Linked DNA regions of Xenopus tropicalis. The protein of the gene in region 1 interacts with the protein of each later gene in a biochemical or structural test. Links are inferred from orthologs where the notes say so. Each region holds a gene or a part of one and is shown on either strand. Other genes may lie near its edges.

Evidence for each region.
Region 2: of the proteins of srebf1 (region 1) and sirt1, one has a biochemical effect on the other in vitro, tested with the Homo sapiens proteins (2 studies listed by BioGRID, with this or other methods). The link is inferred for Xenopus tropicalis from reciprocal best matches to the Homo sapiens genes SREBF1 and SIRT1.

Annotation. Positions count from the first base shown.
Region 1 is NC_030685.2:15,391,615-15,394,612, reverse strand, and holds the end of srebf1 (sterol regulatory element-binding protein 1), read right to left. Parts: coding exon 2,976-2,998; intron 2,208-2,975; coding exon of another isoform or gene 2,152-2,207; exon of another isoform or gene 1,470-2,151; coding exon 1,246-1,469; 3' UTR 796-1,245; downstream 1-795.
Region 2 is NC_030683.2:38,239,605-38,244,157, forward strand, and holds the start of sirt1 (NAD-dependent protein deacetylase sirtuin-1), read left to right. Parts: upstream 1-1,607; coding exon 1,608-1,956; intron 1,957-3,977; coding exon of another isoform or gene 3,978-4,091; intron 4,092-4,553. UniProt on the Homo sapiens protein: NAD-dependent protein deacetylase that links transcriptional regulation directly to intracellular energetics and participates in the coordination of several separated cellular functions such as cell cycle, response to DNA damage, metabolism, apoptosis and autophagy.

The DNA.
Region 1 (2,998 bases):
TGAATTGTGCTTAGTACAGGGGAATCCCTATGTGCCATAGTTTTATGGTATCTCTCTGTACAGGCTATGAGCAAACTTAGGGGGCTGTTCCTGCTGAATTGTGCTTAGTACAGGGGAATCCTTATGCTGCCATAGTTTTATGGTATCTCTCTGTACAGGCTATGAGCAAACTTAGGGGGCTGTTCCTGCTGAATTGTGCTTAGTACAGGGGAATCCCTATGCTGCCATAGTTTTATGGTATCTCTCTGTACAGGCTATGAGCAAACTTAGGGGGCTGTTCCTGCTGAATTGTGCTTAGTACAGGGGAATCCTTATGTGCCATAGTTTTATGGTATCTCTCTGTACAGGCTATGAGCAAACTTAGGGGGCTGTTCCTGCTGAATTGTGCTTAGTACAGGGGAATCCCTATGTGCCATAGTTTTATGGTATCTCTCTGTACAGGCTATGAGCAAACTTAGGGGGCTGTTCCTGCTGAATTGTGCTTAGTACAGGGGAATCCTTATGCTGCCATAGTTTTATGGTATCTCTCTGTACAGGCTATGAGCAAACTTAGGGGGCTGTTCCTGCTGAATTGTGCTTAGTACAGGGGAATCCCTATGCTGCCATAGTTTTATGGTATCTCTCTGTACAGGCTATGAGCAAACTTAGGGGGCTGTTCCTGCTGAATTGTGCTTAGTACAGGGGAATCCTTATGCTGCCATAGTTTTATGGTATCTCTCTGTACAGGCTATGATCAAACTGAGGGGGCTGTTCCTGCTGAATTGTGCTTAGTACAGGGAAACAAAGACAAATAAATACAGAAGTCACTGTATATATTTAAATATAAAATTAAATGTACATAAATCTGCAAAATGAAGTTTACCTTCCCTTAGTAAAATATGAACACACAACATACTGTGTGACCAGAAGGCTCCTTTCTATGGAGGCTCCCACACTGAGAGGACGATTCCTATAACCAGCGCAGCTTCTCCCACCCATAGTTACGCTAGCGGCGCGGCAGTTACTCAGTACAGGGAAGGCGCTGCTGCTGCATCCGTATTCCACGCAGGACTCCATGAGCGGTTTCTGCCCCTTGTGATGAGAGGGGGCATTTAGATTAAAGTGCAATATCGTAGGGCATCTGCCTGTGAAGTGGAGCAGGGAACAGTCGCCCGATGGAATTGCTATAGTTGAAGCCATTCGTTATAATTCTTCGGGGGGGGATGTTCTTGCTTTGTATAGCAAGTATAACAGGACCCCCCCCCCCTAGCTGGAAGTTACTGTGGTTCCGCTGCCCAGCGCCAGGATAATCTGCTGGCAGTCCTGCAGAGTCCGTTTGTCCCCAAGCTTCTCCAGGGTACGGGCTGCCTCGGCCAACATGCCCACTCTCTGCCCTGGGGCAGATAGAAAGGTAGGGGGCAGGTAGCGGCAGGCAAGGAGCAGGGCTTCTGCATGCTCCCGGGGTGTGGGGCTCATCTCTTGGGTGCCTGCTGGGAACAGAGAGAGGCTGGCAGGTCACTAACACATTGCAACCATGATACTAAGGCAGCAGAAGGTTCTTAAAAGGGTTTGTTTACCCTTTAAAGACTCACAGTATGAGGGCTGTGCTTATAGGGCACATTCCCTCTGAGCAAATCCATTTACATGGTATAAACACTAGGGGGCAGCACACACCCTCAGATTGCTCTGCAATAAGCTGCCATTATAATTACTGGGCAATAGGGCGGATGAATGAAATGTGCATCAGCACGGGGCAAACAGGCAAACAATGGAGACAACACAGCAAACTGAAAAATAAAAAGTTTAAATACAAATAATTTTCCAACCGATTTCTTTTTTTTTTTACACTTTTTTCCCCTTTCTTTTCACGAGTCAGAAAGATCCTCTGAGCCAATAAGCTACAAGCTAGGAGCTAAAGATGCTTGAAGAGAATAGAGTCGCGCTCGACAGTAAAAAAAAAACAATCCAGCAGTGTCATGTCAGGTGGTGCCATGCGTTCTTCTCTGGCCCTGGTGGGGTAATATGGAGGGTGAATACCCCCTCATTCTCCTCAGTGGCACAGTCCTGCATGGCTTAAGATAAGTCTCCTATGGGTGCTGCTGGCCCTGGGTAAGAGGGGCACACTGGAGAGCATCCCCGAGAGGGCGGGGCTTTCTTTAAACCAATCGGAGATTACTGACAAGGCAGCGTCGGGAGGGTAACACTGCAGCTGACCAAGCGTACCATATCTGTGGACGAAAGAGAAACAGCTTCGGTATCTCCTGGTTTACACTGGCCACTTTCCCACTACTGTGCCGTCTGTATGAGGGCCGGGAAGTTGCCACCAGGAAGGTCAGGGAGGTTACAATCCCAGCTGCTGTTAACTTCACCTCCCAGCTGGCAGGCTGAGGATTCTGGGAGCTGTAGTTGGCAACAGCTGGAGGGGGCCACAATTTGATATAAATGAACTGGGGCCCAAACTATATACTAGATGAATGCTGACATGGGGGTTAATATTGTGTGCCATACTGCAACACGGAACATGCAAAACTATCCTGTAAAATTAATATATATATAGATATTAGATATATATATATTATATATATTTATTAATACAGGAAGTGTAACATGAATGTGTATAAGGATATGGGAGATTTTGGGGTCCTAATCTGGCTTCTGCCATTGCCTTGCACCCTCTTTCTGTAGCGGCCGAAACGGCACAATCTCACACCATGCTGAACCGGGCATTAACCCCATTCTGGGCCGTCTCTCAGATTGTGTGCGTCAGAGAAAAAAAAAGCCATAGAGAAGCGCTGCCAGTCCTTATATACACAGAGGAGGCATCAGCAGAATGGGGGTTAATGCGCCAAGCAGACAGTAGTGAAATGAAGGCTCAGCGGGCTTTGCAGCAAGAATGGTTAGGGCAGTGCTAGAGGATACAGCGGCAGAGCATGGGTTAAATATATATATTTCTGTGGCTCCTATCTGGTCCTGGTCTGCCCTCTCATATATCTCACCTTCTTTGCTGGATGGGGCCACT
Region 2 (4,553 bases), on another chromosome or scaffold:
GAGGGTATGGTACACACAGGCAGGGTAGGGCAGGCAGAGTATGGCACACACAGACAGCATAGGAAAGGCAGAGTGCTGCCTCTGTGTGCAATACTCTGCTTGCCCTATGCTGCTTGTGGGAGGTGAACCTGGCAGGGGTTTGTGGGAGTTTGTTAGCAGTTGGAAATAGCCATTAAATGGTCCCTAAGGTGTGTAATTATGTACTGGGGGTTGCTCTGCTATCCACAGGGGAGGAGGAGGCATATGGAATTTAAGGGTATATCTTAATATGACATAATTCTTTCACATATGAATGATGGTTGATATCCCCACAGTAAGCACCAAGCATTTGGGATTTTGCTGTGCTACCACCATTGTGATAAAATGTGTGTGGTTTGAAGTGGGTGTGGTTTCAAAAAGGGGAGTGGTCAAAACTGGCTTCCATTAGCGGCCCTCCACCACGTATGCTAGAGAAATTCCGGCCCTCGGCACTGCAGCACTGCTCTATAGCCATTCTAGTTGTTCATATTCTGTTTTAGGGCTCTGGCACACGGGGGAGATTAGTCGCCCGCGATAAAACTCCCTGTTCGCGGGCGACTAATCTCCCCGAGTTGCCTACCCCTGCCATCCCACTCGCGAGTCTTTTTCGGCGATTCCCTGAAATTGCCCCGCTGCGTCTGCCATCCCACCGGCGACTTACATGTTCGCCGGTGGGATGGCAGGGGTAGGCAACTCGGGGAGATTAGTCGCCCGCGAACAGGGAGTTTTATCGCGGGCGACTAATCTCCCCCGTGTGCCAGAGCCCTTAGGGTGAAGACACACAGAGCTACTAGTAGCAGCTACTTGTAGTGGCTACTAAATTAGACAATGCTGATCATTTACTGATAACCGTCTCTATGTGTTTTTTTTGGCAATTCTCAGTATTGTCTATGGCAGGGGATTCTCTGGAGTTTAGTAACCTTGAAAAAGTAGCTGCTACTAGTAGCTCCATGTGTCTTTCCCCTTAGGGCAGGGACACATGGTGAGATTAGTGACAAATCTCCCTTGTCGCGGGCGACTAATCTCCCCGCAATGCCATCCCACTGGCTACAATTTAAATCGCTGGTGGGGTGGCATACAATGCGCAGCAATTTGCCAAAGTCGCCCCAAGTTTCCTCTTAAGGCAATTTCGGCAAATTACATCCACAAATGTGTTATGCACAGAGCTTCTAAAAATGATGCTTAAGCCAAATATTATTAACCTACACTGATTAATGACGCCAAAATGGTTTCAGCATCTCCCCAGTTCTTTTCCCCCTAGACATGAGACAACTTCAAGAGAAAGTTTTTACACGGACTATAAAAAATGCCCCTCTCCTTTGGCTTTTGTATCTGCTAACAGGCTTTGCGGGCTTGACAATCACCACACCAACACACCCCTGAAAATGACACTTTATTGCCGATTTCGCTTTCCAACACCCTCTCCGTTCGTTGTGGCGGTGCCAGCGCATCCCCAGGTACCATGCGAGTGGCTAGTTTGTTATTGTACACGTCACACGGCCGGGGAACCAATAGGAAACGGTGTATCACGTGGTTCGCTGCGCTCCATCGTACAGCTGATGGGCGACTCCTTCTCTGGCAGTGGGAAGATGGCGGACTCAGATCGTGTAGGTTTTCCCATTGCCGGCGCTGTGTTAGCTGTCTCAAAAGAAAATGGCGAGCCCCTTTCCAAAAGGCAGCGCTTGGAAGATACCGGCGGGGGTGGGAGCCAGCTTGTGGGGGCTGAAAGCGAGGGAAAAGCGGCATTGCCGCCTATAGCTGCTTCTCTCCAGGAGGAAGGCGAGGCCTCTTCGGCAATGGAAAGCAAATCCAGAGCGCACAATGGCTCGGGCTTTCAGGGCCTTCCTTTGGGAACGTATTTGGTACAAGGCCAGGAGGAGGGCGGAGCCGAGGAGATGCCCAATGGAGACCTGTCGGATCAGGCTGTTGATTACGGAGGTTGGTTCCCTTTAACTCTTTCCCTACTAACAGCGGCATTGGGCGGGGCATATTCTGTAGGTGTTTGGAGGTTCTTCAGTGCAGTAATGTGGGCGATTCAGCGCATCAGTGGGTATAGAGTGCTACTCCTCTCTCCCTTCCATTTGCTAATACTGACCCATACAAATGAAGGTGCTTTTGCCAAGTTTGAACATATATTCCATTTAAAAACATTAGCAATGGTATATGTGAGTGAGTTATTATTAACATTTATTTATAAAGCGCCAACATATTCCGCAGCGCTGTACAACAAGTGGGTTTCATACATTGGACATACAGAGTAACATATAAAGCAATCAATAACTGATACAACAGGTGAAGAGAGCCCTGCCCAAGAAAGCTTAAAAGTTATGCTTACACCCTATAGTTGGGCCGCTGCTCCTTTGTAGAAAAAAATGCACCAGCCCAGGGTAAAATCTTCACTTACCTTCTCTTTGGAATCCCTACAGCAGGCAAGTCAAAGAGCTTTACTCAACTACACATGTACAAACCCAGGCTGTGAATGGCTTGGATGTGGCTAAAATGTAGGCACATCACTACTTTTCTTCCCTTCAGGGCATTTTTCCCAAAAGGGAGGCTATTGCCTTCTCTTGGCCTTAACTATCTACACATAGGCTGTATAGAGCTCATTAACTGTCCTTGTACTGGTAGGATAAAGAAACTTAAGGGTCCTTCCTGAAGGAAATTTCAGCCTCCCCAAAACAGCTCCTTAACTGGCCTCTTTTAGCCCCACAAAGTTACATTTAAAAGTGTCCATGTGTGTGAACCTGCCATTAAATGCAGAGTAACGGGAGTCACAGTCATCACTTTTTGTATCCTCACTTTGCTGACACAGAGCCTGAGGGACATGCATAGTTAAAGCTGATCCCAGAGTAGCTCCAACTGCTCAGGTTCTGAAGAAGTGCAAGGAGGTTCTGTGAAGTGCAAGGATGCATCTAATACAGGATTCGGCCATTTTCAGCAAGATTCTGAAGATTGCATAAGCAAATTAGGATTCGGTTCCGTATTCGGCCGAATCTTTTGCAAAGGATTCAGGGTTTGGCCGGATCCTAAAAATTGTGGATTTGTTGCATGAAGAGGATCTGAAGAAACAGAAGATGGCACCTATGATCTCCTCTACGGTACTCTGCATTTTTATGGAGGTTTCACAACAGTGCAGGTCGACCTAAAACCTGCATAACCCAGGGGTTGCAATTTGTGGGTGGTGAGCCAAGTTCACTGCCACTCCCTGATCTGTCTCTGTGCTTTTCCAGCCTCCATACTACTGGGGCAGCACTTTAGCTGGCCATACACAGGTATTTCAGCTTCCGATTCGGGTCCTTCAGGCCTACACGACTGACAGTCTTAAATTGTCCAGATCTCGATGGGACAGGTGTGGTTTTCTGATTGGGGATGCATTGTCTGACAGCACCTATGACCAGCGGGTGAAGATCTGCTCATTTTGTGATCTTTTTTAGCATAATTGTCCATGTGGAATGGGAGCAGGGAGTTGGCTAATGGAGGCTAGTTGAGGGTGCTAGGGTTTGGGGGAATGAGTTCCCATTATCAGCACTGCACACAGGGCAGTTCCCATTGTTTTTTGCTCACAATGAGTAACAACTCAGGAGGTGTGGACGAAACATTTAAAATTTCCACTAGTGATGTGTAAATCAACTGTCCTCTGGTCAGGTGAGTTTGGGTTGCTGGTTCTGGTGGGTCCAGGTGCTGGTATTGTTATACCTACCATCATCTTTTTCTGTGAGCCTCCACCTTGGTGACGTCACTAACAGATTGAGTTCCAGGAAAAAGTGTATTTTGTGACCCCACTCATCACTCATTTACACCCTTTCACTGAGAGTGATTATTAAATTGTTACAAAATGTGTTATCTTTGCCACAAAGACAAAAATGTACTTGTGTATTGGATAGAAAACGTTGTTCTTGGTGCAGTCTTTGTTTCAGAAAATGCCTTGTTTTAAACCCCTTGGCTGAATTCTTTTACAGCGGGTATCCATCTGGATGATGATCTTGCTGGTGGCTTTCATTCTTGTGACAGTGAAGATGATGATGGTGCATCTCATGCCAGCTCAAGTGATTGGGCACCCAGGCCCTGTATAGGTAAAGATGCCTATTTTTGTTATAGGCCTAGTTGTGCCTAGTAGAAAGAAATAACCATGCTAGCAAAATCTTTAGTTTATAACAGAATTATCCTTACTATATTAGAAAAAATTAGTTTGAGTTTGATAAATTTATAGCATTCTCCTCTTACAGCCTTACCAATGGACATTAGACAATAAATACACAAATTTTTTTTATGTTGGACACTTGTGGTGACCTCCACTGAGACCTTTCTTATTAGGGCTTCATAAATTAACTGGTACAGAATCCCTGCTACAAAACATTCTGCTGATAGCTTTCTGACCATCTTGTGGTCTTGTTTTCTTGAAAGTGGTGGCTTTCTCTTTGCAACCCAGCTCTGTGCAACGTTGTACAGTGTTTTCTTAATGGTAAACTCATGATCACTGGCATTTGCTAGAGCAACAGAGGCCTTAGGTTCCTTAGACATTAGCCTGGGGTTAT